Mus musculus: one gene and its partners. The protein of the gene in region 1 purifies or fractionates together with the protein of each later gene. This does not show direct contact. Links are inferred from orthologs where the notes say so. Each region holds a gene or a part of one and is shown on either strand. Other genes may lie near its edges. The genes, in order: Snrpa1, Snrpd1, Rbm17, U2surp, Phf5a, Srrm2 and Sf3b4.

The links.
Region 2: the proteins of Snrpa1 (region 1) and Snrpd1 purify together in Homo sapiens (affinity purification with mass spectrometry; 4 studies listed by BioGRID and IntAct, counting the BioPlex papers as one, with this or other methods). This does not show direct contact. The link is inferred for Mus musculus from reciprocal best matches to the Homo sapiens genes SNRPA1 and SNRPD1.
Region 3: the proteins of Snrpa1 (region 1) and Rbm17 purify together in Homo sapiens (affinity purification with mass spectrometry; 5 studies listed by BioGRID and IntAct, with this or other methods). This does not show direct contact. The link is inferred for Mus musculus from reciprocal best matches to the Homo sapiens genes SNRPA1 and RBM17.
Region 4: the proteins of Snrpa1 (region 1) and U2surp purify together in Homo sapiens (affinity purification with mass spectrometry; 5 studies listed by BioGRID and IntAct, with this or other methods). This does not show direct contact. The link is inferred for Mus musculus from reciprocal best matches to the Homo sapiens genes SNRPA1 and U2SURP.
Region 5: the proteins of Snrpa1 (region 1) and Phf5a purify together in Homo sapiens (affinity purification with mass spectrometry; 4 studies listed by BioGRID and IntAct, with this or other methods). This does not show direct contact. The link is inferred for Mus musculus from reciprocal best matches to the Homo sapiens genes SNRPA1 and PHF5A.
Region 6: the proteins of Snrpa1 (region 1) and Srrm2 fractionate together in Homo sapiens (co-fractionation; 3 studies listed by BioGRID, with this or other methods). This does not show direct contact. The link is inferred for Mus musculus from reciprocal best matches to the Homo sapiens genes SNRPA1 and SRRM2.
Region 7: the proteins of Snrpa1 (region 1) and Sf3b4 purify together in Homo sapiens (affinity purification with mass spectrometry; 3 studies listed by BioGRID and IntAct, counting the BioPlex papers as one, with this or other methods). This does not show direct contact. The link is inferred for Mus musculus from reciprocal best matches to the Homo sapiens genes SNRPA1 and SF3B4.

Annotation. Positions count from the first base shown.
Region 1 is NC_000073.6:66,058,898-66,063,135, forward strand, and holds the start of Snrpa1 (U2 small nuclear ribonucleoprotein A'), read left to right. Parts: upstream 1-1,438; 5' UTR 1,439-1,713; coding exon 1,714-1,795; intron 1,796-3,226; coding exon 3,227-3,374; intron 3,375-4,238. UniProt on the Homo sapiens protein: Involved in pre-mRNA splicing as component of the spliceosome. Associated with sn-RNP U2, where it contributes to the binding of stem loop IV of U2 snRNA.
Region 2 is NC_000084.6:10,624,296-10,627,795, forward strand, and holds part of Snrpd1 (small nuclear ribonucleoprotein Sm D1), read left to right. Parts: intron 1-2,530; coding exon 2,531-2,722; intron 2,723-3,498; coding exon 3,499-3,500. UniProt on the Homo sapiens protein: Plays a role in pre-mRNA splicing as a core component of the spliceosomal U1, U2, U4 and U5 small nuclear ribonucleoproteins (snRNPs), the building blocks of the spliceosome.
Region 3 is NC_000068.7:11,593,200-11,596,699, reverse strand, and holds part of Rbm17 (splicing factor 45), read left to right. Parts: coding exon 1-71; intron 72-1,271; coding exon 1,272-1,369; intron 1,370-3,235; coding exon 3,236-3,292; intron 3,293-3,500. UniProt on the Homo sapiens protein: Splice factor that binds to the single-stranded 3'AG at the exon/intron border and promotes its utilization in the second catalytic step. Involved in the regulation of alternative splicing and the utilization of cryptic splice sites.
Region 4 is NC_000075.6:95,509,197-95,513,198, reverse strand, and holds the start of U2surp (U2 snRNP-associated SURP motif-containing protein), read left to right. Parts: upstream 1-1,202; 5' UTR 1,203-1,337; coding exon 1,338-1,382; intron 1,383-4,002.
Region 5 is NC_000081.6:81,869,093-81,873,154, forward strand, and holds the start of Phf5a (PHD finger-like domain-containing protein 5A), read right to left. Parts: upstream 2,801-4,062; 5' UTR 2,773-2,800; coding exon 2,721-2,772; intron 2,098-2,720; coding exon 2,074-2,097; intron 1,407-2,073; coding exon 1,240-1,406; intron 1-1,239. Other genes in the region: Aco2 (aconitate hydratase, mitochondrial precursor), read left to right, coding at 3,421-3,456.
Region 6 is NC_000083.6:23,813,225-23,816,724, forward strand, and holds part of Srrm2 (serine/arginine repetitive matrix protein 2), read left to right. Parts: intron 1-1,897; coding exon 1,898-3,500. UniProt on the Homo sapiens protein: Required for pre-mRNA splicing as component of the spliceosome. As a component of the minor spliceosome, involved in the splicing of U12-type introns in pre-mRNAs.
Region 7 is NC_000069.6:96,171,233-96,175,305, forward strand, and holds the start of Sf3b4 (splicing factor 3B subunit 4), read left to right. Parts: upstream 1-1,273; 5' UTR 1,274-1,341; coding exon 1,342-1,375; intron 1,376-1,738; coding exon 1,739-1,867; intron 1,868-2,308; coding exon 2,309-2,851; intron 2,852-3,090; coding exon 3,091-3,297; intron 3,298-4,073. UniProt on the Homo sapiens protein: Component of the 17S U2 SnRNP complex of the spliceosome, a large ribonucleoprotein complex that removes introns from transcribed pre-mRNAs.

The DNA of each region.
Region 1 (4,238 bases):
ACAAAGGGATTACGAACAGCAGCTGAGGCTTGGCACTGTGAGAGGCCAGGGATGGTCACTGGTGAAGGTGTAGCCTCAGTTGGAGTTGATGGCCCAGGGCTGAAGGGGTCACCACTACATAAACTCACTCCAATAATCCTAGCACATGAAGATGGAGGCAGGAGAGTGAGCTGTTCAAGTTCCTTCTCAGGTCAGTCATTCCATGACTCAGCAGGTAAGAGAGTGTGTACAGCTCTTTCAGAGGACCAGAGTTCAGATCCCAGCAACCACGTGTAACCCCGACTTCAGAGTATCTGGCACCTCTGGCCTTTGTGGGTATCTGCACTCATGTGCCCAAAACCACAGAGATATAACAAATAATTTCTAAAAGTATTTTTAAGAGTGTTTTCTGCTCATGCTGAGGACCAGGGGTTGACTTCTAGCACACATGTCCAAAGGATCACAACGGCCAGCTCCAGGGAATTTTAGGCTGAAGCCTCCCCTGCACCTATACACAGGTGGGCATGTACATTAATTAGTAAGCTATGATTTAAAAAAAATACGCATATGATTTCGTGCATTTAAGGCTTGGCACTGTGAGAGGCCAGGGATGGTCACTAGTGAAGGTGCAGCCTCAGTTGGAGTTGATGGCCTAGGGCTGAAGGGGTCATCACGTATACACAGGTGGGCATGTACATTAATTAGTAAGCTATGATTTAAAAAAATATGCACATGATTTTGTGCATTTAAGCCTTTGGAGACAGAGGCCAAGGCTCTGCAGGTATATTGTATTCACTGTGGGGCACTCATCACATGGCAATTTCTGATATGTGTATTCCCCTGCACTTCGTATGAATTTTTTTGGTGTTGTTTGTTTGCTTGAGATAGAGTTTCTCTGTGTATCCCTGGTTGTTCTGGAACTGGCTCTGTAGGCGAGGATGGCCTCTATCTCCGAGATCCACCTCCTTCTGTCTCCAAACTGCTAGGATTAAAGGCATTCTCCATCACAGCTAGTCAATATGAATATCACTTATGGTTTATTTTATTTGTGTGTGTGTGTGTGTGTTTGCGGTTGCCGGTGTCTGAGGAGGCTAGAAATGGACGGCAAATCCCCTGAGGCTGAAGTTACAAGCAGTTGTCAGGTGTCCAGACGGATATTGGAATGCCAACTCAAGTCCGTTACAAAAGTTGCAAGTGCTCTTAACCTCTAAGCCACCTGACCAGCGCTTTGGTATGAACACCTAAATGTCTACAGGCTACAAGTTCACCCTCAAGCTTTAAGGTGACTGTACCAGGTCAGAAGGGTTCTGTTTTAAGGCAATCCAGCCTACGGGTCCTGCCCCTTACCTGCGGAAGCCCAAGTTAGACATTTAGGAACTTGACTTTCAGGAGACTTCACAGTCTCCGCCCCTTGTTGGGTGGAGAAGGGAGAGTAGTCCCAACTACCCCTCCCTTGAGGTTCACTGACGTGAGACAGAGCATCCCTCGCGTGTTCTTATCTTTTGGATTAAAAAAACTGGAATCTGGGCTCCCCACACTCCCAGGCACGCTCAAGCCCAGAACCCAGAAGCAAAGACACGGGGGCTACGTCTTCGATTGCTTTAGCCTGGCGGTCGAGCTGCGCGGGGATACGATTGGTGCTGTCTGGCGGCGAGGCGCGGTGCACTGTGGGACACGGCACTGGCGGGAGGCGCAGGCTGGTGTCGGAGGTGAGGGTCCGCGGGCTGCGACAGGATGGTGAAGCTGACGGCGGAGCTGATCGAGCAGGCGGCGCAGTACACAAATGCCGTACGGGACCGTGAACTGGACCTCCGGGGTGAGTTAGACGGAGCGCGGGCTGTGTTCCGGCCCCGGCGCGTGGCTGCGGGAAACCAGCCCCGCCGCGTGCGCAGAGGCTGGAGCCTGGCCCGTGGGCCTCCACCCGGGCTGGGCGCCTCCGATCCACCGTCCCGCAGGGCCCTTTGGGGCTGTTTGTTACCGGCGTTCCGGCTAGCAAACACGGCGCCTCGATTCCTTCCCCGGACCGTACTCACTAGGCATTGCCCCGCTCATCGAGCAGCTTTAACTGTTGGAGGACTAGGAAAATAGAAAACGCTACGGACAGGCCGGCTGCTGGCTGGTGTTTTTTGTTTGTTTGTTTGTTTGTTTGTTTGTTTGTTTTTTAGCAAAAGCGTTAATGTGGCACCTGAGGGTAGGGTGGATATGTACCAGAGTTACCTTAATTGCCCCAATAATTCCGGTTTGGTTTTGTTCATTTGTTTTTGAGACAACGTCTCGTGTATTCCGAGCTGACTTCAAACCGTTATATAGTTAAGGTTTATCTCGAACTTCGGACCCTCTTGCCTCCACTTCCTGGGAGCTGGGTTTAAATGCCTGCACCACGTTTATATGGTGCTTTGGATGAGCCCAGGGTTTCATGTCTGTCAGGAAAGCACTCGCGCTACTGAGCCAGACCCGCAGCCCCGGATAATTTGGTGTTTTCAAGATTGAGCTGTTTGACCGTGGCATAATGGTCACTTCTGTGTGTGGGGTGGCGGAACTCACCTGTTCAGTTCTGACAGAAGTAGCACTTGATTTTTAAAACATAGAACTGAGAGGTAATCGTTAACTATTCAGGAGATGGCTTTGGAAGGGGTTAAGATTATAAGACTGTGACCAGAGGCAATCAAAGTCTCGGGGGCGCTGTGCACTGCCATTTTTGAAAGTTTCTTCCTGCCTATGGGAAATCCTAGTGTTCTTTGTGTTTGTTGAATGAAATTAACTTTCTTGGAGAAAAGTCCGGTTCAGGAGCATCTGGGTCCTTTCACTGTCTTGGCACAGTTTTGATGTCTGCTGTCTCTCTGAAAACCGTGCAGTCTGGAGAATGCTTATTCTGCTACCATATCTTTTATTGCACTCCTTCACAGCTGGGTTGTGTCCTTCCTTATAGTACCTAGCTCAGTGACGAATGTGAATACCTCATAGACGTTCTTAATAAACCATGGGCACCAATACTAGTAAATATGCCCATCTGTTCTTCCTCTTGCCTTCAGCCTCTTCAGTTTTACTTCAAGCTTTGTAGCACTAAGGCCTCCACTTAACCCTTTCGTCATTTACCTTATTTTTGTTCAGTGCACGGCATGGTGCTAGTGCCTGGTTAATACTTCCCGAATGGGAGCGCTGAGTCAAATTCCATCACATACTCCTGCGATTTTCAGGACTTTTCATTTATATTAATATTTGTTGTATGTATGTTTTCCCTCTACAGGATATAAAATTCCGGTTATTGAGAATCTGGGTGCCACCTTAGACCAGTTTGATGCTATTGATTTTTCTGACAATGAGATCCGGAAACTGGACGGTTTCCCTTTGTTGAGAAGACTGAAAACATTATTAGTGAACAACAACAGAATTTGGTGAGTGACTGCTAGTGAGAATACTTTCTTCCCTTAAGTAAGTGTTCTAATGTACCCTGAAGATAATGGGGTTTTGGTTGTTGTTTTGTTTTGTTTTAATGTATATTAGTTTTTTGCTTGCAGGTACCACACACCCTCCTAGTGCCTCTGGAGGCCAGAGGAGGGCCTTGGCTTCTCTGGAGCTAGGTTTACAGATAGTCCTGAGCTGCTCCAGCTGTAGGAATAGAATCTGGGTCCTCTGGAAGATCAGCCAGGGCTCTAAGTTGCTGAGCCACCACTCCAGCCTGCCCATGTGTCTTAAAGGGAGAAATGAATAGAGCCCTTTTCCTAAGAGGTTGGAGATTAACTTGGGCATTGGCCTGACCTTACTTGCTACTCTTCAGAAATCTTTAATATTCGTAACTGACATTAAACTTTGAATTTGAAGCATTGTGCTATGTCAACAAATCAGATTTTAGAGTAGTCATCAATAGCATCATAATTAAAAAGATTTATAAAGGCCATGTGTAGTGGTATCTGCCTTTAATCCTAACACTCTGGAGTCTGAGGCAGGCTGATCTCTGAGTTCAAGGACAGCCTTGTTGACAGCAAATTCCAGCCAGGGCTACATAGTGAGACCCTGTCACAGTAAAAATCTTTTTATGAAATAAAGTTACTTTTCACTGAGTACCTATACCTCATCCACTATGCTGGTTTTGGTTTTTGTAGTTGGTTTCTACAATATAATTCTGTGAAATTAAGATCATATTTGTTTGTATGAGTGGGGTTTCTCTGTGAGCCCTGGCTGTCCTGGAACTCACTCTGTAGACCAGGCTGGCCTCAAACTCAGAGATCTGCCTCCCTTTGCCTTCTGAGTGCTAGGAT
Region 2 (3,500 bases), on another chromosome or scaffold:
TATTGTGCACACGTTTTTTTATCATTGTTCATCCTTCATTATCCTCTCCTGTTTGTCTCCTAAGACTTTTTTTTTAAAAAGTGGTTATCAAAGGGAAAAATAGTATTTTTTTTTTTTCCCCCGAGACAGGGTTTCTTTGTGTAGCCCTGGCTGTCCTGGAACTCACTCTGTAGACCAGGCTGGCCTGGAACTCAGAAATCCACCTGCCTCTGCCTCCCAAGTGCTGAAAAATAGTATCTTAACATGTGTTCCTATTCTCTAAAATACTGACCTTGTAGATGTGTAAGTTTTTAATAGGTAGGTCCAGTGTTTTAGTAAGCCAGGAGAAAATGGGATGGCATTTTGTGGCTCTTCTAGAAGTTATGTCAAATTTCCATATCTAAGGATGTACTGTTGCTGCCCTTGTTAAAGTTCCTTGAGTAGGATTTGGCCTGTTCCTGTAGAAAAGCATTGGGAAAGATCTCCTCCTCCTCCTCAGCGTCCTGTTTTAGATGCAGGATTTATGTATCCTGGCTTCAAACTAACTGTGTATATTTGAAGATGGCCTTCTTCTGGTTTTGTTCCTCTAGCTCCTGGCTGTTGGTATTTCAGATGTGCACCACCACACCTCTTTATTTAGCAATGGGGATTGAAGCCAGTACTTCATGTATGCTAAGGAAGTAGTCTACCAGCTGAGCTACGTTCCCAAACCCCAGAGTGGCATGTTTGCTGCCCACCTACCCACCCCTCCCCTATCAAAATCTAATGATGAAAATTGTAATCCAAAAACAAAACAAAACCCAACACAAGTTTCTGTATCTCATATGAATGTACACACATACACACACACACACACATATATGAGCATATGGAGGAGAGGGAATGTAGTAAGGCTGTCTAGGAACTAAGAGAACTTCCTTCTTTGGAGAAGAAGATGAAAGCATTTGTTGTTGGGTTTTGTTTTGTTTTGAGACAGATTTTTTTTCAGTATAGCTGACTGTCCTGGAACTTGGTCTGTGGAACAGGCTGACCTTGAACTCACTAAGATTGGCCTGCCTCTGCTAGAATTAAAGGCATGTTCCACCCTTGCCTAACAAAGAAAGGATTTGTAATAGTGAATTTTTGGAGAGAAAAACAGTAAAGTTAGCCTGGCATGGTGGCTCGTGCTTGTAATGCCAACACTTAGAAGGCTAGAGCAGAATCCTTAGTTTGAGGCAACTCTGGGCTGCATAGTGACAGCCTGTCTAACAGAACAAAAACAAATATATAAACAAGCTCAGTTAAAGGCTGGGTTATAAGGTGATTGTACAGTTACCTAGCATGCTTGAGGTCCTGGATTCAGTCCATGGCACCACAAAAAAATATAAACCTTCACATTTAGAAAGACATAAGGACCCAGACAAAGGACCTAGTTGGCAAAGTGCTTACTGTGCAAGCTTGAGAACCTGAGTTCAGGTCCCCCAAAGGATGGGTACTTCCTGTTCTGAAATTCCAGTTCTCTGAGACATTCTGTCTGAGAAAACAAGGTGAGAGGGTGTGCCAGCTCACCCCTGTGGGTAAAGGCATCTGATGCCAAGCCTGACAACTGAGTTCATGCCTCAGGATCTACACAGAGGAAAGAGAGCTGATTCCTAAGAGTTGTCCTGATCTCTAGACATGCACCATAGCGTATAGGTAGCTGCCTTCCCACACAGCCATGCTCATACAAATTAATTTTGATAAGATTCTGTTTTTAACTCTGTATGTATGTGAGTACAGGTGCCTTTGGAGGCCAGAGGTACTGGGTCTCTCTGGAGCTGGAGTTACAGGCAATTAGTTAGGGCCCTCCAGATGTGAGTACTGGGAACCAAACTTGGTTCTCTGTAAGAGTCCTGCACACTTACCATTGAGCCATGTCTCTAGCCCCTAAAAATCATTTTAAGTAAATAAATAGACATGTTAAACTGGGTGTGGCGGTGAGTACCTGTAGAGCAAGCACTTGAGAGTCTGAGGTCAGCTTGGGGCACATAAGAAAGTGGGGGAAGAGTTCCTAATGATAGGGAAAAATACCATAGGTCTTTAAGAATAAAGGCCTATGGCCTGATAGAATGTTGGTTAAGAAGTTATGGGGATAATGGGAGATTTTATCACAAACACTATCTAATCCTGGGACAAGAATTCAGTCCTGAAGGTAGTAGACTCAGGGCTCCTTCATAGCTTGCTATGCTCATTTCCTTTGTCTAGCAAATAGGCTCTTTCTCTGTTGTCCCAGCTTTCCTTGAACACATGCACTCCTTGTGCCTCAGCCTCTTGAATGCTGAGATTACAGGAGTCACTTAACCACACCACCAGTGCATTCAATTCTGTAAGTGCACTCAGCTTTGTACAGAGGTTTTGTTGCTGATTTATTTTGACATTTTTCCCCGTTGTGCATATATTGTCACAGGAACTTGACCTATAACATAGCAGAAAAAAATTCTTTACAGTATGATTTCAACTCTTGGTGCAATATATTGATTGCCTTCTTTATCATGCTGGTAATTGTTCTGCTTCCCTCCCCACCCCCCTTTAGGTGTAGATGTCAGCATGAACACACACCTTAAAGCTGTGAAAATGACCCTGAAGAACAGAGAACCTGTACAGTTGGAAACATTGAGTATTCGAGGCAATAACATTCGGTATTTTATTCTACCAGACAGCTTACCTCTAGATACACTACTTGTGGATGTTGAACCTAAGGTGAAGTCTAAGAAAAGAGAAGCTGGTACGTGTGAAAGTGTTTTATGTATAGTGTATTTAAGTCTTAGCTCGCTGTTCAAAATACATTTGTGAACAAGGGTGTTTTTGTGGCTCAGAACATTTGTCTTAGGACATGCGCTACCTAGAGTTCTGGTGCTGCTGTGGAGAAGAGTCCCTCCAGTCCTCTCTTTCTAGTTTCTTTAGAAAGCTATTTTTCCTTTACTATATGCACACCTTTAATCCCAGCACTTGAGAGACAGAGACAGGTGGATTTCTGTAAGTTTGAAGCCAGCCTGGTCTATAAAGCCAGGAAGCCAGGGCTAAAAAATGTATGGCGTTACCAGGGTGTGGGGGATATCATCACCCAGTGGCAATCACAGCATGATGTCCTGGGTCTGATCCTGACCATGGGTGGGGTGTTACACCTCAGTCTGACTGCATCAAGCAGGCGCTCTGCTTTCTTGCCTTTCCTTTCTTTGTCCTCATGATGACCAGCTAGAGATACCGCTGTGTGTTCAAGGCTGACATGTTAGAAGCCAAACAAGTTTTCAAGCTCCCATTTGGTTAACGTGCTTGGCTCCTATTAAATAAGCAGAAATCTGACACGGTGTAAATTTGTCTCCCTGCTTTTTACATGATGGTAGTGGTGCTCATATTTGAGAGAAGCTGAGTTAGAGCTTTTTTACTCTAGTTAGCGGCTAATTGAAGAGGTGTAGGTGGGAAAATGCTCGGGATAAGCTCTTGGTGGCAGGTATGTGCTGTTGAAAAGGAGTTCACCTGCTTTGTTTTTCCTTTCTCTAGTT
Region 3 (3,500 bases), on another chromosome or scaffold:
AAGCGCCAGAGAGAAGAGCGGCAGAGGCAGCGGGAGCTGGAAAGACAGAAGGAAATAGAGGAAAGAGAAAAGTAAGTTTCCTTTTGATTTGGGAGCAAATGTCTTCTGTCAATGTGTGTTACAGTGAGTGAATTTTATTGTTGTCTCTAGGCCTGAGGTTATGGTTTCAGTCAACAAGGGTTTACCCACATTGATGGCACACTTGAGAAAATTTATTTATAGACTCAGAAAACCTAAAGTATAGACTTTGCATGAATTAGAAAAATAACTTTGAAAACCCACTGGTATCCAGGTGTGGTGGTGCATGCCTGTAATCCCACCCATGTAGTGTTCAAGGCCAGCCCTGTTTCAGAATCAAAACAGCAGACTCCATTGTTGCCATTTTTCCCTGGTTTGTGACTGCTAGAACCACATTTAGAGTATTTCAATGCTATTCCTTTACTGTATTTTGGTTTTGGTTTTTTTGACACAAGGCTTCTCTGTGTAGCTCTGGCTGTCCTGGAAATCACTCTGTAGACCTGCCTCGCCTCAAACTCAAGAACTCTACCTTCCTCTGTCTCCCGGGTGCTGGGGTTAAAGGCTTGGGCCACTATACCTGGCTTCCTTTCCTACTTTTGAGCCAGGTGAAATTACATGTATTTTTTTTTAATTTACTTATAATGTACTTATATAATACTTATAATTTAAAATTATAGGTAATGGGATTATTTCTTAATTTTATTATTTAATTTAATTTATTCTCTCATATATTAAATCCTGACTGTAGTTTTTTTCTCCCTCTCCCCTCCCAGCTCCTGAAATCATATGCCATATTATCCAAAGTTAGATGTCAAAATTTTTTCCCTATGAATTATGCCCATGTATCCATTAAAGTTGTTCATTTTTTTTCTTTTAAATTTTTCTATTGAATCCATTCCCAGAATACATATAAGAATTAACTATTTAAGCCAGGAGTGGTGGCGCACGCCTTTAATCCCAGCACTCGGGAGGCAAAGGCAGGCAGATTTCTGAGTTCGAGGCCAGCCTAGTCTACAAAGTGAGTTCCAGAGCAGCCAGGGCTACACAGAGAAACCCTGTCTCGAAACCCTCCCCCCTCAAAAAAAAAAAAAGAATTAATTATATTCAGTGAACATTTTTCTTTCTTTCTCTTTGGGTTTTTTGTTTGTTTCTTCGTCTTGTTTTGCCAAGAGGAAGTCATAATGACAGTTAAGCTTTATTTGGGCTCTGTCCTAATGTATCAGGGATGGCCATTTGTTACTTTGTCATTACAGGAGGCGTAAAGACAGACACGAAGCCAGTGGGTTTTCAAGACGACCAGACCCTGATTCTGATGAGGATGAAGATTATGAGCGAGAGCGGAGGAAAAGAAGTAAGGCGTGAGCGTGGACAAGCTCGCCCTAGACTCAGCACTGTCCCGGCTTTGCTTTCCCTTTCCCGTGAACATGGTGTATTTCACATTGGTTTGAGTAATTGGGGGGCTGGGCCAGTGCCCTAGATTCTCACCAGTCCACATTCCGTAGCAGCTTTGCTTTATGCTGTTTAATATCTTCTCTACTGTGAACTTTACTAACATGGCGAAACACCTGCTTTGAAACAGCATTAGGTCTACTTCTGCGCTTCTCCTTAATTGAGGCCTGGTCATCTTTTGCCTCTTCTCCAACCCAGAGCATTTCTGGCCAGCCCTGGATGTAGGAGGAGACCCCACATCCGGGGCACATTTGCTGATGACTCCGCTGCATCCGAGCATCCACGGAGCCTCTTTCATGTTCACCTGCTGCCTAAGCAGGGCGATCAGAGTCCGCGGCACTGGGGCTGTGAACCATCCCGTCTTACTATGCTAAATCTATAGCTTGGGTTCTCCTCAGTGGGCACAGTGGTGTGTGCCTGTAGTCCTGGCACTTTAATAGAAACAGGAGCACAAGCTCAAGGCCGGTCTGCATGAACAAAACAGAAAATAACGTTTTAAATGTCTGTTACAAATATGTCTTAAGAAGTGAAATGTCAGCCTCCTTTCTTTAGGGTTATATTTCTAGTTAATGTGCACCACCTGCTCTGTTCATCACCACCCGCTCTGTTCATCATCACCCGCTCTGTTCATCATAGTGCATCTCTACTGGCCTTCATTTCTTTTGTGAAACCTTTTAGGCTGATTGATACAGCATGGTTTTATAACCAATTTCAATTGGTCTTACTATTCCACTGATTAAAGTCACAATACATCTGGGTGAGACGCTTGACACAGGGTCTCCTTCTGGTGCTGGAAGTGACAGCTCTCGGTGACCTCCCAGATTGCTAATGCTAGAGGTATGGCCAGGACACTGTGTATTTTGGGATTCATGTAATGAAGAGTTCCTTACAGTCTGTTCATGATATCCTAGTTGTCATGTCTTTCAGTTTGTGTTCATGTTATCTGACCAGCAGACATGGGCAGGAATGGTGGCACTGCCTAACGTGTTCCTAAGAGCTAGGACTCATACTCCCCAGAGGCGTCCCTGATCCAGCTGTGCTTGCTGGGGCATTGTCCCTGATCCAGCTGTGCTTGCTGGGGCATTGTCCCTGTTCCAGCTGTGCTTGCTGGGGCATTGTCCCTGATCCAGCTGTGCTTGCTGGGGCATTGTCCCTGTTCCAGCTGTGCTTGCTGGGGCATTGTCCCTGATCCAGCTGTGCTTGCTGGGGCATTGTCCCTGATCCAGCTGTGCTTGCTGGGGCATTGTCCCTGATCCAGCTGTGCTTGCTGGGGCATTGTCCCTGATCCAGCTGTGCTTGCTGGGGCATTGTCCCTGATCCAGCTGTGCTTGCTGGGGCATTGTCCCTGATCCAGCTGTGCTTGCTGGGGCATTGTCCCTGTTCCAGCTGTGCTTGCTGGGGCATTGTCCCTGTTCCAGCTGTGCTTGCTGGGGCATTGTCCCTGTTCCAGCTGTGCTTGCTGGGGCATTGTCCCTGATCCAGCTGTGCTTGCTGGGGCATTGTCCCTGATCCAGCTGTGCTTGCTGGGGCATTGTCCCTGATCCAGCTGTGCTTGCTGGGGCATTGTCCCTGATCCAGCTGTGCTTGCTGGGGCATTGGCTTTGGTATCACAGGGAACTGGATTTATTCCACTTCTTCAGATTCATCTCTGTTTGCTCAATTGGAAACAGGAAGCTGTAATTACTTACTACACAAGTGCCAAATTGGTATGCTAATTTGGCTTATTCCTTAAAATATACTGCTAATCACAATCCTTGTGTCTTCACAGGTATGGGAGGAGCTGCCATCGCCCCACCGACGTCTCTTGTAGAGAAAGACAAAGAGTGTATGTGCCTCGCTTTCTTTTATTACCTATTCTCACACAGGTATTTGTGGACAGTGAAGATCCTAAGCTTGACTCTCTTGTGTCCTGAGTTTAGAGCAGAATAGCCTGGTTTTCATCCCTGAAGTCACAGTGGCCTTGCTTCCTGCTATACCTGGGATGCTTTGACAGGGTTTCTCTGTATAGCTCTGGCTGTCCTGGAGCTCACTTT
Region 4 (4,002 bases), on another chromosome or scaffold:
AAATAAATAAATAAATATCAATAAAATCTGGTGGTAGGCGATGAGGTATAAATAAGCCAGGTACCAGAGATAGAAACCGTAGTAACAGGAAGCCAACGATCAGAAAGTAACGGTTGCTATGCATGAAAGTACAGTATAATACGGTTCTGTGCCCTCCAGCCCAAATGAATTTATTTCCATTCTCAGGTCCTGTCACACATCTCCAATTCTGAGCCTCTTCTCTAGGTCTGACCCTTATCTGTAACTGAAATCTAGGTGATGGCACACACGTTTTCTCCCAGCACTTGGGAGACAGATCTCCGAGTTTGAGGTCAGCCTGGTCTACAGCACAGGGACAGCCAGGGGTGGAATGCCGACAAACTGGAAAAACCCAAATCAAACCAAACTTACTCATTCCCCGCTTCCCTTCAATTAACAAAAAGCTTAGACATGGTGGCCCAAGACTAATTCCCAGGACCTGAGGCGGGAAAATCAGCAGTTCAAGGCTATCTTCTGCTACACAACTTTTGCGACTATGCTTCAAAGAAATAGGTGCGGGTAGCCAGAAGTCTCAGAGGGAAAAAGGCACTTGCTGAGCAAACCTGCCAACCTCATTTCGATCCCCAAATCCCACCAACTCCTTCAAACTGTCCTTTAACCTCCCCACAGTTGCTAGGGCGTGCCTGTACTGCACAGTAACAATAAACATGCTCGTTTTAGAACAGCGTCTATATTACGATCCATCCCTCCCCAACTCCATGCCCAGTCTATGCAGGTACCATGCTCCGACGTCCTAAACAGTTTTTATCCTATTTCCCTGTTTTTTCTCAACTCTGAAGTCACTGCTCACCATTTTTTAACGTGAGCAGATTGCAAATTTGCCTTGCCACCAAGGCCTGTGCCCCCTGGGGGATCGTGCGGCAAAGTGTCTCGACGAACTGCCTCATCAGCTGAGGTGAGACGCTCGGCTCACGTGGCTACTGCAGTTGCTTTAAAAGAGCAGCTTCCTTCCCCCCTCAGGAAGTAGAACCCGCTCGCATCTAACGCCGGTTGGCTCTGGGAGGAAAATGACTGAATTATCAGTTGGCCTTGAAAGTCGGGTCAAGGAGAGTCCCTAAATTCCGCAGGCGCGTGACGTGACTGGGCGCCGCAATTCACCGGAAGGCGAGCGGGGTGGGCGGGGCGCGTAAAAGCGCCTCGACGCGGAAGTCACGCGGCCCCGGCGCCGCGGAGGTCTCCGTCTCGGCGTTCGGCTATTCGGCCTGGCAGCCTTTCTGGCGCGCTCGGCTGCTATCTGTTCTCTCGGTGCTCGACTCACCCGCGCTGCTGCCTCCGCTGAAGGAGGAGCAAAGCTCAAGATGGCCGACAAAACGCCAGGCGGATCTCAGAAGGCCAGTTCAAAGGTAGTTTCTTAGAGATCTCCGTCAGTCAGGGGGGTCTCTCACCGTGGTCGAGGGCCTACAGAAGCCTCTGGCCTTCGAGGGTTTCCTGGGGCGAGGGGCTGAGGCCTGTTGGCCACAGTGGGCCTGGCACCGCTGCACCAAGGTGCGCAGGTTGAGAGGCCCGAGCGCGCGTCCGTCCCGACTGGGATTCAGCCCCACACCAGCGTGCCTGGTGGCGAGCGGGGCTGGTCACCTCGTTCGGCTTTGTGGGTCAGAGCAGTGGTTCCGAGGTGGTCCGGCGTCCTTGTATCACCCCTTGCTGCTCTCGGAGGCTGCGGGCTAGAGGCTGGGAGAGGCGGGAAGGTTCCCGGTCTTAGATGCCTGTTTCTTCCCCCCTCGTCCTCCCTTCTTTACTTTGGCTCTTACTCGTTCCTGGCCTTACACGGTTTCTCTCCTTGCCGTCCAGGAAATTAGGCTGGACGGGTTGCAAGGGTGTGCGAGAGACCCGCCAGTGGAGGGCCTGGGGTTGGGACGTGCGGAGGGAGCCGCTCTCTGAGCCTCAGGGTTAGAGCCACACTTCCCATGTGATTTTCCTCCCACTTCCCGGGAAGTGAAAAGTGAACAACATCCCTCTTGAGGGCCGCAGACTCAGGGTCTCAAGCAGTATGTGGGGTTTCCATTGGAAAGGGAAACTACGGTAGACGTGGAAATTGCCCAAATGCCCTTACATGTGAGTTTATAGGGAGCCCTGTGCATTGCTTGGGAAACCGTTGAACTGTAATTAAGCGTTAGTAAGGTTGGGTTAACAATTGGTGTTAGTTGCCATTTTGGCCAGCGTGTTTAATCCCATTTATTTACTTATCTATTTTGGATTATTTTGCTTGGAGATTCTCGTCCCCATCTCGGTATTAAAGATGCCTAAGTACTGCCATAAACCAGTGGCGAGGCTTGAGATGCAGAGATAAGGAGTTGGATAACATTTAAAGAGTCTCGGAACGTAAAGTGTATGATTATCTGTTTGCATTTGCTGTTTGGTTTGAGAAACAAACCAAACTTGCTCTCTTTCTAATAAGGCTGACGTTTATTTATTTGTTAATTTTTAAATTTTTGCCATTTTGCTGAATGATTGCCCCAGATTTACTTAGCAAGTAGTAAAGGTCTTACTAGACATTCTTCAGAACTATGGGAGGGCCCAGTTCTGGTTGTCCTTACACCAGACCTTTACTGTAAGTCAGCTTCCTTTTTCTCCAGTAGTTTTTCCCCTCCTTCCCTTTCTGGGGGAGCAGGTGAATGAAGGGGTACCTCATGATGCCACTCCTCCTTTCAGACCCGTGACCAGGACAGGTACCCACATCCATAGTTACAATTTGTTTTGATATTCTTCTCAAAGCATTTAGTATTTCCTGCATGAGGCCTGGGTAGATTGAAAGCTTTTCAAAGTATGTGTTCAGACTTTTTTCTAAGAGAATACTTCTCAGGACTCTGTGTAGTTTTTAAGTATTAAGTAGCTTGTTGGATTTTTTTTTTTTCATTCACACTTGTCAGTTTATAGTCCTTTAGATGTCACCAAAGGGTTCCTTACTCGTGTCTGAAAAGGGAATATTTATACTCAAGAGTTTTGCCAGGATTTTTCCATGTAATGGAAAGTGTTGTAATGGAATGGCGAGGTTATAGGTTTTGAAAACAAATACGATACCTAATCTCTTCAGCCTCAGGTTTTCTTATCTTATTACAGGAAAAAAATTCTTTTATAGGGCTGATAGAAAGATGGAGTTACTGTAAATGTTAGTAAATCTTACTTCAGTTTCTAAGTCTATATAGATCATCCACCCATCCTGCGTACTAGGTTTTTGAGCTGGGTCTCCCGTAGCCCAGGCTGGCTTGAACTTTAACCTTCAGCATCCTGCTGCTCCTTCCTTGTATTTCCCAGAGTTGGGATTACAGGCATGTGCCAACCGCTTCCAGCTCCCTTTTTTTTAAGGAACTAGAAAGCACTGATTTGGATTATTAAGTGTTGGCCATCATAATGACCACTCAAATTGTTGTTGTTTTTTTTTAATTTCAAATGTAAGTCTAGACATTATTAGATTATAAGATCATTTTGGCCTTAGTACAATATTTGGAATTTCCAGGCTTGTATTCTGTGCTGTATATCAAGTAAGTAGAGACTTCTGTTTCATGCTCTTGCTATGGTAGTTACATTTCCATCAATTTGGGTAGAGGTGTTTATTAGTCATTTCTACACATTGAAAGAATATTTGTACAAGATATAGGGTTTTTACCATTGACCATGATGAAGTCTCTATCTTTTACAAAAGTGTGCATGTCTGTGTGCACACATGTGCACCCTCATGCCGCAGTGTAGATGTGACAGAGGACAACGCTAGGTTCTAAGGATCAAATTCAGGCCTTCAGGCTGTGTGGCCTATGTCTGCATTCTCTGAGTCATGCTCATGGCCCCATTAGTGTTTCTTAATTACAAAATACATAAACCACTAGTTATTTTTAGCTTTAAAATTAACTTCATGATGTACACAGTGTATGTAGTTCTTGCTAAGGGGACTTGATGGGGGGGCACCCTTCCAAAGTCCCTTTTATTTTATGTAATTGTTCTATACTTTTCATTTTTAATATCTCCTGG
Region 5 (4,062 bases), on another chromosome or scaffold:
GCAAGTAATCCTATTATCTAAGAGGCTGGCTGAGGCAGGAGGACTGCTTTGAGTTTCAGGCTACCCTGGACTACATAATGAGCACTAGACCAGCCAGGGCCAACATAGCAAGGCTACCTCAGTAGCTGCCACATCCTACATCCCTGCCCAGAGAACCACTATGTGGGTACAAATCTGTAACCTCTGCACTCAGGAAGCTGAAGCAGGAGGACCTTTGGTTCCAGGCCATTTTGAGACACACTGGCACCTATGTCTGTGAGAAAAAGAGGAAGACAGATACAGGCAGAGCCACTGAGTGTCTTCTACACAGCACCGACGTACTCATTAGCACACAAACAGAGGATCTTACATGTGGCTAAGAATAAAAATGAACGCCTTTAATCCCAGCACTCGGGAGGCAGAGGCAGGCGGATTTCTGAGTTCGAGGCCAGCCTGGTCTACACAGAGAAACTCTGTCTCAAAAAAACCAAAACCAAAACAACAACAAAACAAAACAAAACAAAACAAACAAAAAAAGGAATAAAAATGAGCTGCCCTGGCTAACTTTATGTCAGCCTGACACAAACTAGGGTCATTTTAAAAGATGAAAGCTCAATTGAGAAAGGCCCACTAGTTCGACCAGTGGTGCACTTTCTTGATTAATGGCAGACATGGGAGAGCCCAGCCCAGTGTGGGTAGCACTACTCATGGGCTGGTGGAACTGGAGGCAGTAAGAAAGCAGGCTGAGCAAACTGGAGGGGAAAGAGCAGTGATCGATCCTCCGTGGCTCCCGCATCGACAAACTGTTACCTGGAGGTGTGGAAGAAAACCTTTTCTTTCTTTAAAGCTGCTTTTAATCTTGTTGTATCATTGAGAAGAAACCTAACTAAGACAGCAGGTAAACACACTTGACAAGCCTAACATTTGCACTCAACCGCCAGGACCAGAGTCTACAGGGAGAACTGCCTTCAGCAGGTTGTCCACACACCCATTCGCAGGAGACAGCAAGGTACATGGAGAAGTTCTCCTAACTGCTGATACCAATGAAGACTTGCTTCTCTTCCATTCTGCCCTGATACAGAGTAACTGCTCTTTATTAGACCACACCCAGTTTGGCTCACAGGCTTGAAGAAATTACCTAGATAACTAGCTGAACACTGCAATCTCCACAGCCCAGATCAGAAGAGGTGGCCATGGATGGCAAAATGGTTCAAAGTAAAAGGAAGAGAAGAGCGGGTAGGAAGCTCAGCCTACACTCACATCCTTCTCCTGAATGGTGCACTCTTTACAGTAGTAGGCATCGGAGACTCCGGGGCCGCCACAGATTACACACCGGCCCTGGTAAGATCCATAGTTACACTCATCACATATGCGGACCAGGGTGCAGGGACGCACGTAGGAATCACAGATCACACACTTGCCGTCACCTGTAGAGAGAGGAGAACTGAGTTATAGCCAATAGCGATTACTCCCCTAAGATCTCTCCTCTGCCCTATGCGGGAAATCACTAGTCTCCTTCTGACAGTGACCTTAGGACCTTCTTCTACCTTGACAGCATAAGCCTTATCCTGTACCCGTCTCAGTTTAGTAGTTCATGGAAAGAGTTTGTATTAGTGTCTGGGAGCTTTTAAGTCTATGTAGTTACTGTCAACAAATTGACAAATGTCATTGGGCTGGGAAGGTCCCCACTACTCTTGACAAATCTTACTGTCCAAAAGTAGACATTTTTTTTCAAAACCTAAATATGAAGTATTAAAAATTGCATGCTTAAGTGGGAGGATGGTGGGGCAGTCTTTGGTGGCAGCCAGGTATTTAGTATCCTCTGCAGGCTGGTTTATCTATTTAAGACTTCTTTACTAGCCAGGCAGTGTTGGCATACGTCTTTAGTCCCAGCACTTGGGAAGAAGAGACAGGCGGATTTCTGAGTTCCAGCCTGGTCTACAGAGTGAGTTCCTGGACAGCCAGGGCTATACAGAGAAACCCTGTCTTAAAACACCCCCCCCCCCAAAAAAAGACTTCTTTGCTGTTCCACTGGAATTGACGACTCTTCAAAGAGTAAAGGTGTCAAGGCCTGAGAGGGCGTGTTCGGCTTACATTTTTCACACAGTCTTCCGATAGCTGCAAGGTCAAAGATAGTAAAACATCGTTAAAATTAAGGTTGTGAGGTAGCAAGCAAAGTTTTTCGTCAAACTGAGTATAGAGGATGGCGAAGGTAGCAATGATTACAGTCAACCGTACAGGATCGTGGTCACATTCTCCTTTCCTCCCTCTCCACTGTCCCCCACCCCCTACTTTTTTGTGATAGAATCCCACTGTGTAGCTTGAGTTAGCTTTTAAGCTCTAGCCAGGCTCGAACTCGCAGCAATCTTCCAGCCTTCTGCCTCCCAGGTGCTGGGATTACAGACAAGAGTTCCCGGCCCACGACCCTAAATTTTGCTTTACACCAAAGGCCATGTCAAAAATAAAAAAAATGTCTGGAACCCCCCAAAATTCAAAGTATTCTAGACCGGCTTCTCCAGACCTGGCACAGAGGATCCCGCCAGCCTTAGACTCCCGGATGCGCGCTGCTGCCCTCTTCTAAGATGCCACAAGCCGGTGAGCGCTGCTAGAATACCCAGGCACCGTAAGGCGCGAAACGTGGACACGGCAAACCAGAGCCCTAAAGAGGAGGCTGAAGTCCCTAGTCCCCCACTTTCTAATCCCATCCCACTCAACCAAAAGGGAGCACGTCCCCAACTCACCCACACCAGCCTGCTTGCGGCAGAAAATCAAATCTGGATGATGTTTAGCCATAACTCTTTTTCCAAGCCGGCGGCCGGAAGCTTAGGGAACTTCCGCCCGACCTTTAACCTACGGCGTGCTTACTTCCGTTCCTCCGTGATTGGCCATTAAGCTGTCCGTCAGCCTTTAGCCTCGGGGGGTGGGGGGGGGCACCAAAACCGGCTAGATCTCGCGAGAGTTTCCTCGCTAGGTCCTTGCAGGTGCACCAAAGGTTTTTGAATAAAATTCTCTTTACTTCCAGATTTGAACTCATAAACTGAAGTTTGTTCTTGGGTAAAAATTCTACATATGTTGCATTCTGTGTTGGGGATTGACGCCAGGGCTTCTTGCATGCTTCCGCCAAGTATGTTGATTTGGGGATATTCTCTTTCCTGGATGACCTTGAACTCCTGCCTCCCCTCCAGCTTCCACACCCAAGGGCAAAGGTGACAAGGTTGCGCCGAACGCCGAGTTGGCAGTTTCCCCGCATCTTTGCTTTCCACGCCGGGTTTCCGTCATGTAAGCCCCGCCCACTGTGCTATCTGCACTCTTGGCTGCGGGAGGAGGCCCCACCCTCGCGGTTGACTCGTCTCTCTGTAAGCCCCGCCCCCTTCGATGCTTTTTTAAGGGCGCCATTTGTCACGTCACTTTCATGCGACCTCATCTTTGTCAGTGCACAAAATGGCGCCTTACAGCCTCCTGGTCACCCGGCTGCAGGTAAGCGAGCCCAGAGACGTGGGTTTACGGGGGCGGGGAGCCTCCTGCCTTGCCCGCGGCTGTAGGCGAGGCCAGGCGAGGCGGGCTCGATTCGCGGCTGACGTTCCGTGCACCTGTCGCGGTTGCAGGCCCAGCGCCCTTGTGGGTTCCTGCGTTGTCCTAGGTCAAGGCGTCCCTGGCACAGGCTGTTCGCAGTTCCCATCCCCGCCCGCCGGCAAGCTTGGGTTTAAGCAGCGGCAGCCTGGTCCAGGGTGGAGGCACTCCTTTTTTTCTGAGGGTGGAATCCATGCTCCCCCAGGGTGGTTTTCTGTTCCTCAAGGTGATGACAAGGTGATTGGGGGGCGCGGTGGTTGTGGGTTCCTCTAAAGCCGGGTGCTTGAAGCCTTCACTTCCCACCAGTAGCAGAGACTCGTCGCCTCATTTATCCGTGGTTGCCGGGCATGGAGTTTGCAGAAGCTATATCCACTACTACCCTTTGAGGAGACTCGGGGTCATAGACACAAGAAGGACTATTCTGGGCCCCACCATAATAAATAGTCACGATAAGAGTGCTTTCTCACCTTTGCAGCAGATGTCAAGGCTGTTTACTAATGTTACAGATGTTTT
Region 6 (3,500 bases), on another chromosome or scaffold:
TACAGCAGCTAAAACTGCCCTCTTGGGTTGAGATGTTGTTCCTTCAAGGAATCCATGTCTGAATGTGGGATAAACAATTTTAGGCTCCTCATCCACCCAGACGCAGTAGTGCTTTGTCTCTTTTAGTCTTGGGACTCCAATAATACTCTTGCTCTTGCCACAATAGCCACATTTGCCACAGGTCAACTTCTGAAGGTGGTGGTTAAGTGCCTTAGTGCCATAGAAGTGGCACATGTACATCGAATTATGACCAAGGATGATGTTTTCTTTTGTCATCTTGCTTCTGCCCAACAAAAAGTTTTCTTTTTTTTTTTTTTTGATTTCTTTTTTTTTAAATTAGGTATTTTCCTCGTTTACATTTTCAGTGCTATCCCAAAGGTCCCCCATACCCACCCCCCAACAAAAAGTTTTCTAAAAATTACCTTTAACTTTACTACTTAAAGTATCTATATCCTTTTTATTGTATGCTTGTCATGAGTTCTTACATTTTTCAATCCTTTGATTTGATGCCACCAATCTGAAAGCATGAAAGAATTATCTTTTTAGTAGTTCCTGTTTTATATTCTCTATTCTAGTTCTGTGGCTGATTGTTTCTACTGGTTTCAGTAATTAATGTAACTTAATATTTCCCGTATTGTGTCTCATTTTAAAGATAAGTTACAAGAAAACTTTGCTGCTTGCTATGGTGTTTGTGGTGTTTTCTGTAATTAAGCTGTTTTTATGGTTTGGCCTGTTCCTGTAAGACCATGGTGAATTAATTTTTGTGTGTATGTATGAGGGGGAGGCAAATGTGTTACATGTGTTTGGAGGTCAAAGGACAAAACTACCTATATATGTGTTCTGTGGATTGAACTCTGGTTACCAGGCTTATGTTGCAAGTGCCATCTCATTGACTGTTGGTCAGTATGTTTGTTTTTGAGACAGGGTCTCCTTACATAAGGCCCTGGCTGTCATGCAACTTAATACATAGTTCAGGCTAATCTTAAACTCACAGAGCTCCACCTGCCTCTGTCTCTGAAGTACTGGGATTAAAGGCATATATGGCCATGCCAGGCCCCTCTTGATAAAATTTAACACATTATACACTTTAAAACCTTGTGCCCATTTGTGATATTTTAAGTCAGTCCATATTCAGGTGAAAGTTATTGTCACCCAAACTTTCTCTTTTTGTTTAATTATACCTTTTTTGGGTGGTGTTGTAGTGTTCATTTGCAACCCATACACAACGTCAGACACTTTCCCTTGAAAAGAAAAAAACATTCAATAGAGATGACTTGCTTGATGAGTTTAAAACACTCATCAAAAGATATTGAGTAAGTTTAAGAGAACAATGTACAAAGCAAAAAAAAAATTAAGAGGTAAGATAAAAAAAAAGGAAAATGACTTAGTAGGTGAGTAATTGGTTGCTAGTGATAGTCTATGTGTAACCCCAGTATGCAAAATGGAGACAGGGCTGTCTGTCTATAAGGTGTACCACAGGGCAGGTGGTATTTTGTTGGTAATGCATTGTTTACATTTTCTTGTTTCTCTGAATTACTACTTGAGGTTAGAGATTGTTTATATGGTCAGGTTTTTCCCTTGCTACTTTATTTTCTCATTGTTAAAAATGCATTTATTTTGTGTGTGTGCATGTGATACATGCACATGTGCAGTTCATAGAACAATTTTGAAGAGTAGGTTTTCTCTTTGCCACCTCATGGGCCCATTAAGCTATCTTACTGGCTCCCAACTAAGCATTGCATATTGTCTTGTTACTGAGTATAACTATGGGTAGGGAAAGGGTCAATTGGTATAAGAAGTATATAGTGTAAAATTTTATTAGAAACTCTTCGTATCTTATAGGATAATGAGGTTTTGGTGTTTTTTTTACTATTCCTACTTCTCTTTTCACTCTTAGAAATCTGCAGTTCGACCTAGCCCCTCTCCGGAAAGGAGCAGCACAGGGCCAGAACTACCTGCCCCTACTCCGCTCCTTGTTGAGCAACATGTCGACTCCCCACGACCCCTTGCAGCAATCCCGTCCAGTCAGGAGCCAGTTAACCCCTCATCTGAGGCTTCCCCAACCCGGGGCTGTTCACCACCTAAGTCTCCTGAGAAACCTCCCCAGTCTACTTCCTCAGAAAGTTGCCCACCATCCCCTCAACCTACCAAAGGTTCTCGGCATGCCAGCTCTTCTCCTGAAAGTCTTAAACCCACACCAGCTCCTGGGTCCCGTCGAGAGATTTCTTCTTCACCCACATCTAAGAATCGCTCGCATGGCAGAGCAAAGCGGGATAAATCTCATTCTCATACCCCATCTCATAGAGCAGGGAGGTCTCGTAGTCCTGCCACTAAGAGGGGACGGTCTCGATCTAGAACCCCCACCAAGAGAGGTCACTCCAGGTCCCGGTCCCCTCAGTGGAGAAGGTCAAGATCTGCACAGAGGTGGGGAAAATCTAGAAGTCCCCAGAGGCGTGGCCGTTCAAGGTCTCCTCAGAGGCCAGGTTGGTCCAGGAGCAGAAATACCCAGAGAAGAGGCAGGTCTAGGTCAGCAAGGCGAGGCAGATCACATTCTAGATCTCCAGCTACTAGGGGCAGATCCCGATCTAGAACACCAGCTAGAAGGGGTAGGTCTCGGTCCAGAACACCTGCCAGGCGAAGATCACGATCCAGAACACCTGCCAGGCGTAGGTCTCGGTCTAGAACACCAGCTCGCAGGGGCAGGTCCAGATCAAGAACACCCGCTCGCCGCAGGTCTAGGACACGATCACCAGTTCGAAGGAGGTCTCGGAGTAGATCCCAAGCTAGGAGAAGTGGTAGGTCTAGGTCCAGAACACCAGCCAGGAGAAGTGGCAGGTCAAGATCTAGAACACCAGCCAGGAGAGGGAGGTCCCGGTCTAGAACGCCAGCCAGAAGAAGCGCTCGATCTCGGTCTAGAACGCCAGCCAGGAGAGGGAGGTCACGATCCAGAACACCAGCACGACGACGATCTCGAAGTAGAAGTCTTGTGAGACGTGGAAGATCTCACTCTAGAACACCACAAAGAAGAGGACGATCTGGCTCATCCTCAGAGAGGAAGAACAAATCTAGAACATCTCAGAGGAGAAGCAGATCCAACTCAAGCCCAGAAATGAAAAAATCTCACGTTTCCTCAAGACGGAGCAGGTCTCTTTCTTCACCACGATCCAAAGCAAAATCTTTGAGGCGAAGCCTTTCAGGTTCCTCTCCATGTCCTAAACAAAAGTCACAGACACCAACCAGGCGAAGTCGTTCTGGTTCTTCACCACCTAAACAAAAGTCAAAAACACCACCAAGACAGAGTCGTTCAAATTCTCCTCAGCCTAAAGTAAAATCTGGAACACCACCAAGACCAGGGTCTGTAACAAACATGCAGGCTGATGAATGCACTGCAACACCACAGAGACAGAGCCATTCTGAATCATCACCTGATGGTGAGGTGAAATCAAGGACCCCATCAAGACAAAGCTGCTCTGGGTCTTCTCCTCGAGTGAAATCTAGCA
Region 7 (4,073 bases), on another chromosome or scaffold:
AACTGTTTGTTAGCGTCGTTCTCAGAGGCAGGGCAGGGGTCTCTGCTCATCTTCCTGTCTGACCTTGACGCCTCAGCTTTGGCATTCCAGTCTGCAGAGTTCACTTAGAAGGCCCGTTTCTGTAGCAGATGGTGGCGCTACCAACCTAAAGGTCTCCCGATTTGTTTGATTTCTGGGGCTATTTTCATTTCTTGTGATTTGAAAACTAAGAAACAAGACCAGTTCAGAATGTGATTGCCCCTTTTCCCAGGCAATTCTGTACCTTTTGGATGGCCGTCAAAACTGTGACATGAGAGACCCTTTTCATCAGTCCCAACAATGATGTCCTAGAGACCTCATTCGCAACCTCTCTACACTACTTTGAAATCTTTTCTTAGTCTTCTGTGGGAACGAGGTGAATAAGGGAGAAACCGTCTCCTCCCACTGTATATTTTCATAGCAGCGTTTCTATTTAAGGAGTTCATTAAAGCACAGTATTTCTACACATTGCTGGTATTTTCTTGTGTTGAATGAAGATCTCAGCAAAGCCGTGGGGGTGGAGGGGAGGGTGTGAACTGAGAAAAACACCCAAATTATTGTAAGGAAATAAAGGATCCAAGTCAGGCGTGGCCTGGAAGAAATACACATAAAATATGGGGGAAGGGGTCCGCACACCTTTTTTGAGACATGGTCTCTATGTGTCTATTAGGCCAGCTGGAACTCTGTTTTTTGAGACAGGTTTTCTGTGTGGCCATGGCTGTCCTGGAACTCGTTCTGTAGACCTGGCTGGCCTTTAACTCAAGAGATCCATGTCTGCTCCTTAAAGCTTCGATACCAGCCCGCAACCCAACCCGGTTTCGTGTCCCAGATTTCCCAAGATAAGCGGAGATTTGACACTTAGGGGAAAACAAAATACCTCAGGCTCAAGTCTAGGCCGAGGGCGAGTCTGCACGAGCGTCGTGGACCTCACTAAATAATAGGTCGCTCCAGAAGGCAGTCCTGGCCCTGCACTTAGGACACAACTCTGCGTCACAGAACGTACAAAGCCTGGTTTTGCACTTGAATGTGCGTTTGGGGAGCCGTGTGAGCCTCTAACAGTCTGGAAGCATCCGGGGCTTTAGTTAACTGTGTCGAGACGGGCTGAGCACATCCGTTCCGCCCCGACTACAGCAGCAGCCCTAGAGCGCCTTTCCCTTCCGAAAGACAAGACTCCGACCCCTAAGATGGCCGCGATCGCTTCCGGCTCCTCCCCCCCCCCCCGGCGCCGGCCCCGCCCAACGTGAGCCTTGGCCCGGAAGTGGAAGTTGTAACTGAGGTCAGGGGGCGGTGCTGCTGCTTAGAGACGGCGGGAGCCCCTTCGCCATGGCTGCCGGACCGATCTCCGAACGGAATCAGGGTAATTGGGAGAGAAGAGCCCAAGATAGGAGCAGGGAAGTGGAGGGAAGATTAGTGCCGGAAGCGTTCCCCCTGGGGTGGTAGACGAGATCCCCCCCGGTGGGACACCGACCTCTGGGCACCTGGCTGGCCGCGAGGCCGGGTGCAGGCCGAGGCCTGTGAGAAGCGATGCTTCTAGATCAGCTCCCTCCACCAAGAAGACAAAAGCCTCCCGGGAGTACCGGACCAGCAAGAATGCCAAATTAGACGTAGCAGATTTTCTAGATGATGGTGGCAGAGGGAATTTCAGGGCTTTAGGCGACGGTTTTTGGTTTTTGTCTTCTTTTTCACTGCCGACTCCTCATCGCCTGCTTCTTCCCTTTAGATGCCACGGTGTACGTGGGCGGTCTGGACGAGAAAGTGAGTGAGCCGCTGCTGTGGGAGCTCTTTCTCCAGGCAGGGCCAGTGGTCAACACCCACATGCCCAAGGACAGAGTCACTGGCCAGCACCAGGGTGAGTAGGGTACGGGGCAGGAATCAGCCCTGGAGAGGGTTAACCGGCCCCGAAGAGGCTCAGCCGCTAGGCACAGCGCCTTTGGAATGAGCAACCTAAAGATTGCTTTCTCCTTCAGCTTCAATTCCCAGTTTCTGGAATATTTTCTCTTAGCTCTAGTTTCTGGAACCATTCTCAACCATTCTCTGTGTAGTCCTGGCTGTCCTAGATCTTGCTCTGTAGACCAGGCTGGTCACGATCTTTGAGCTCCACCTGCCTCTGCTACGAAGTGGTGGCATTAAAAGCACGTGCACGTGCAGTCGCCCAGCTATTATCTATTATGTTCTTTGTGTTTGAAGGCTGGGGAGTTAATGTTTCATTTTGAGTCTCTTCCCCTGAATGATGGGTTTTTTTTGTTTGTTTGTTTTTTGTTTTGTTTTGTTTTTTTCATTGATTCCCCAGGCTATGGCTTTGTTGAATTCCTGAGCGAGGAAGATGCCGACTATGCCATTAAGATTATGAACATGATCAAACTCTATGGAAAGCCAATACGGGTGAACAAGGCCTCAGCTCACAACAAAAACCTGGATGTGGGAGCCAACATTTTCATTGGAAATCTGGACCCAGAAATTGATGAAAAGCTGCTTTACGATACTTTCAGCGCCTTTGGAGTCATCCTACAGACCCCCAAGATCATGCGGGACCCTGACACAGGCAACTCCAAGGGTTACGCCTTCATTAATTTTGCCTCCTTCGATGCTTCGGATGCAGCAATTGAGGCCATGAACGGGCAGTACCTGTGTAACCGTCCTATCACTGTGTCTTATGCCTTCAAGAAGGACTCTAAGGGTGAACGCCATGGCTCAGCAGCTGAAAGACTCCTGGCAGCCCAGAACCCGCTGTCCCAGGCTGACCGCCCTCACCAGCTGTTTGCCGATGCACCCCCTCCGCCCTCTGCCCCCAATCCCGTGGTTTCATCCCTGGGTTCTGGGCTTCCTCCACCAGGTACAGCTTGGAGTTCAGACTGTGCCAGTGAGGCTCTTGGGAGGGAGGCTCAGGAGGCAGAAGCAGCCCTGGTAGAGTAAGCTGCTAAGTTGTTGGGCAGTGAGACAGGAGTGAGGCGTGCTGGTGGAAGGGATGAAGTTGGCGGATGAAGTTGGCAGATGGAGTGAAGCTGAAGGGAAGCCTGCAGGGGGGAGGCTGGAGCTCTGCAAGACATTAACTGTCTTCCATTTCTTACACAGGCATGCCGCCTCCTGGCTCTTTTCCACCTCCAGTGCCACCTCCTGGGGCCCTCCCTCCTGGGATTCCCCCAGCCATGCCCCCACCACCTATGCCACCTGGGGCTGGAGGACATGGCCCCCCAGCAGCAGGGACTCCAGGGGCTGGACATCCCGGTCACGGACACTCACATCCTCACCCGTTCCCACCAGGTGGGATGCCCCATCCAGGTAAGGGCTCTGTGCTGGGAAGGAGCTGAGCTTGTGAGAGGGGCTTTCTTACTGTCTGTCCTGGTAGTCTTGGATGAAAATAGTCCAGAGTCCTCCTTTTCTTCAGAAACAGACAGTACTTTGTACGTGTTGGTGCTCCTGTTTTATCTCCAGTTCTTGTATTTCCTAAAGGATAGCTTGTACTGGGCAAAACTCTCAACCTCTCCTCTGCTTCCAAGGTTGCCAAATCTAGAAGACATTTCTGCTTTTGGCTTTTTGAGAAACGGGTTCTCTGTGTAGCTGGCAGTGTCAAACTCAGAGATCCTCTTGCCTCTGCCTCCCAAGTGCTGGGACTAAAGGCGTGCGTGTTTCTAGATTTCTCTAATGTCAACCATAGCAACCTGGATCGGCTCCTTTTTTTATGTTTGTGTAGATTTTTTGCTTGTTTCTCTTTTCTTTGTTTCTCTGTAGTGTTAAATGTGAAGGTGCTAATTTACCATTGGTCTCTGGTCTTAGGTTCTTGGCAGGCTAGAAAAGGCCACTGCTCAACCCACACTTAACTTTCCTCTTTCTGACACCATCTTCAGTAGTTCTCACTTGTAGGAGCCCAGTTTACAACTCTGGGGCTTTGTCTGTTCTGTCCTCCACTTTGCAGAGCAAGTCTAGCTTATGTTTTTGTCATTGGTCACAAGCCAGTGCTCAGACTGCACTCACTTCCTGTCACTGACTCAGGGACTCATCTACTTTCACTGAGTAACTTTTCCAGGGTATTCACAGACATTTTCTTCTTCTTTTGT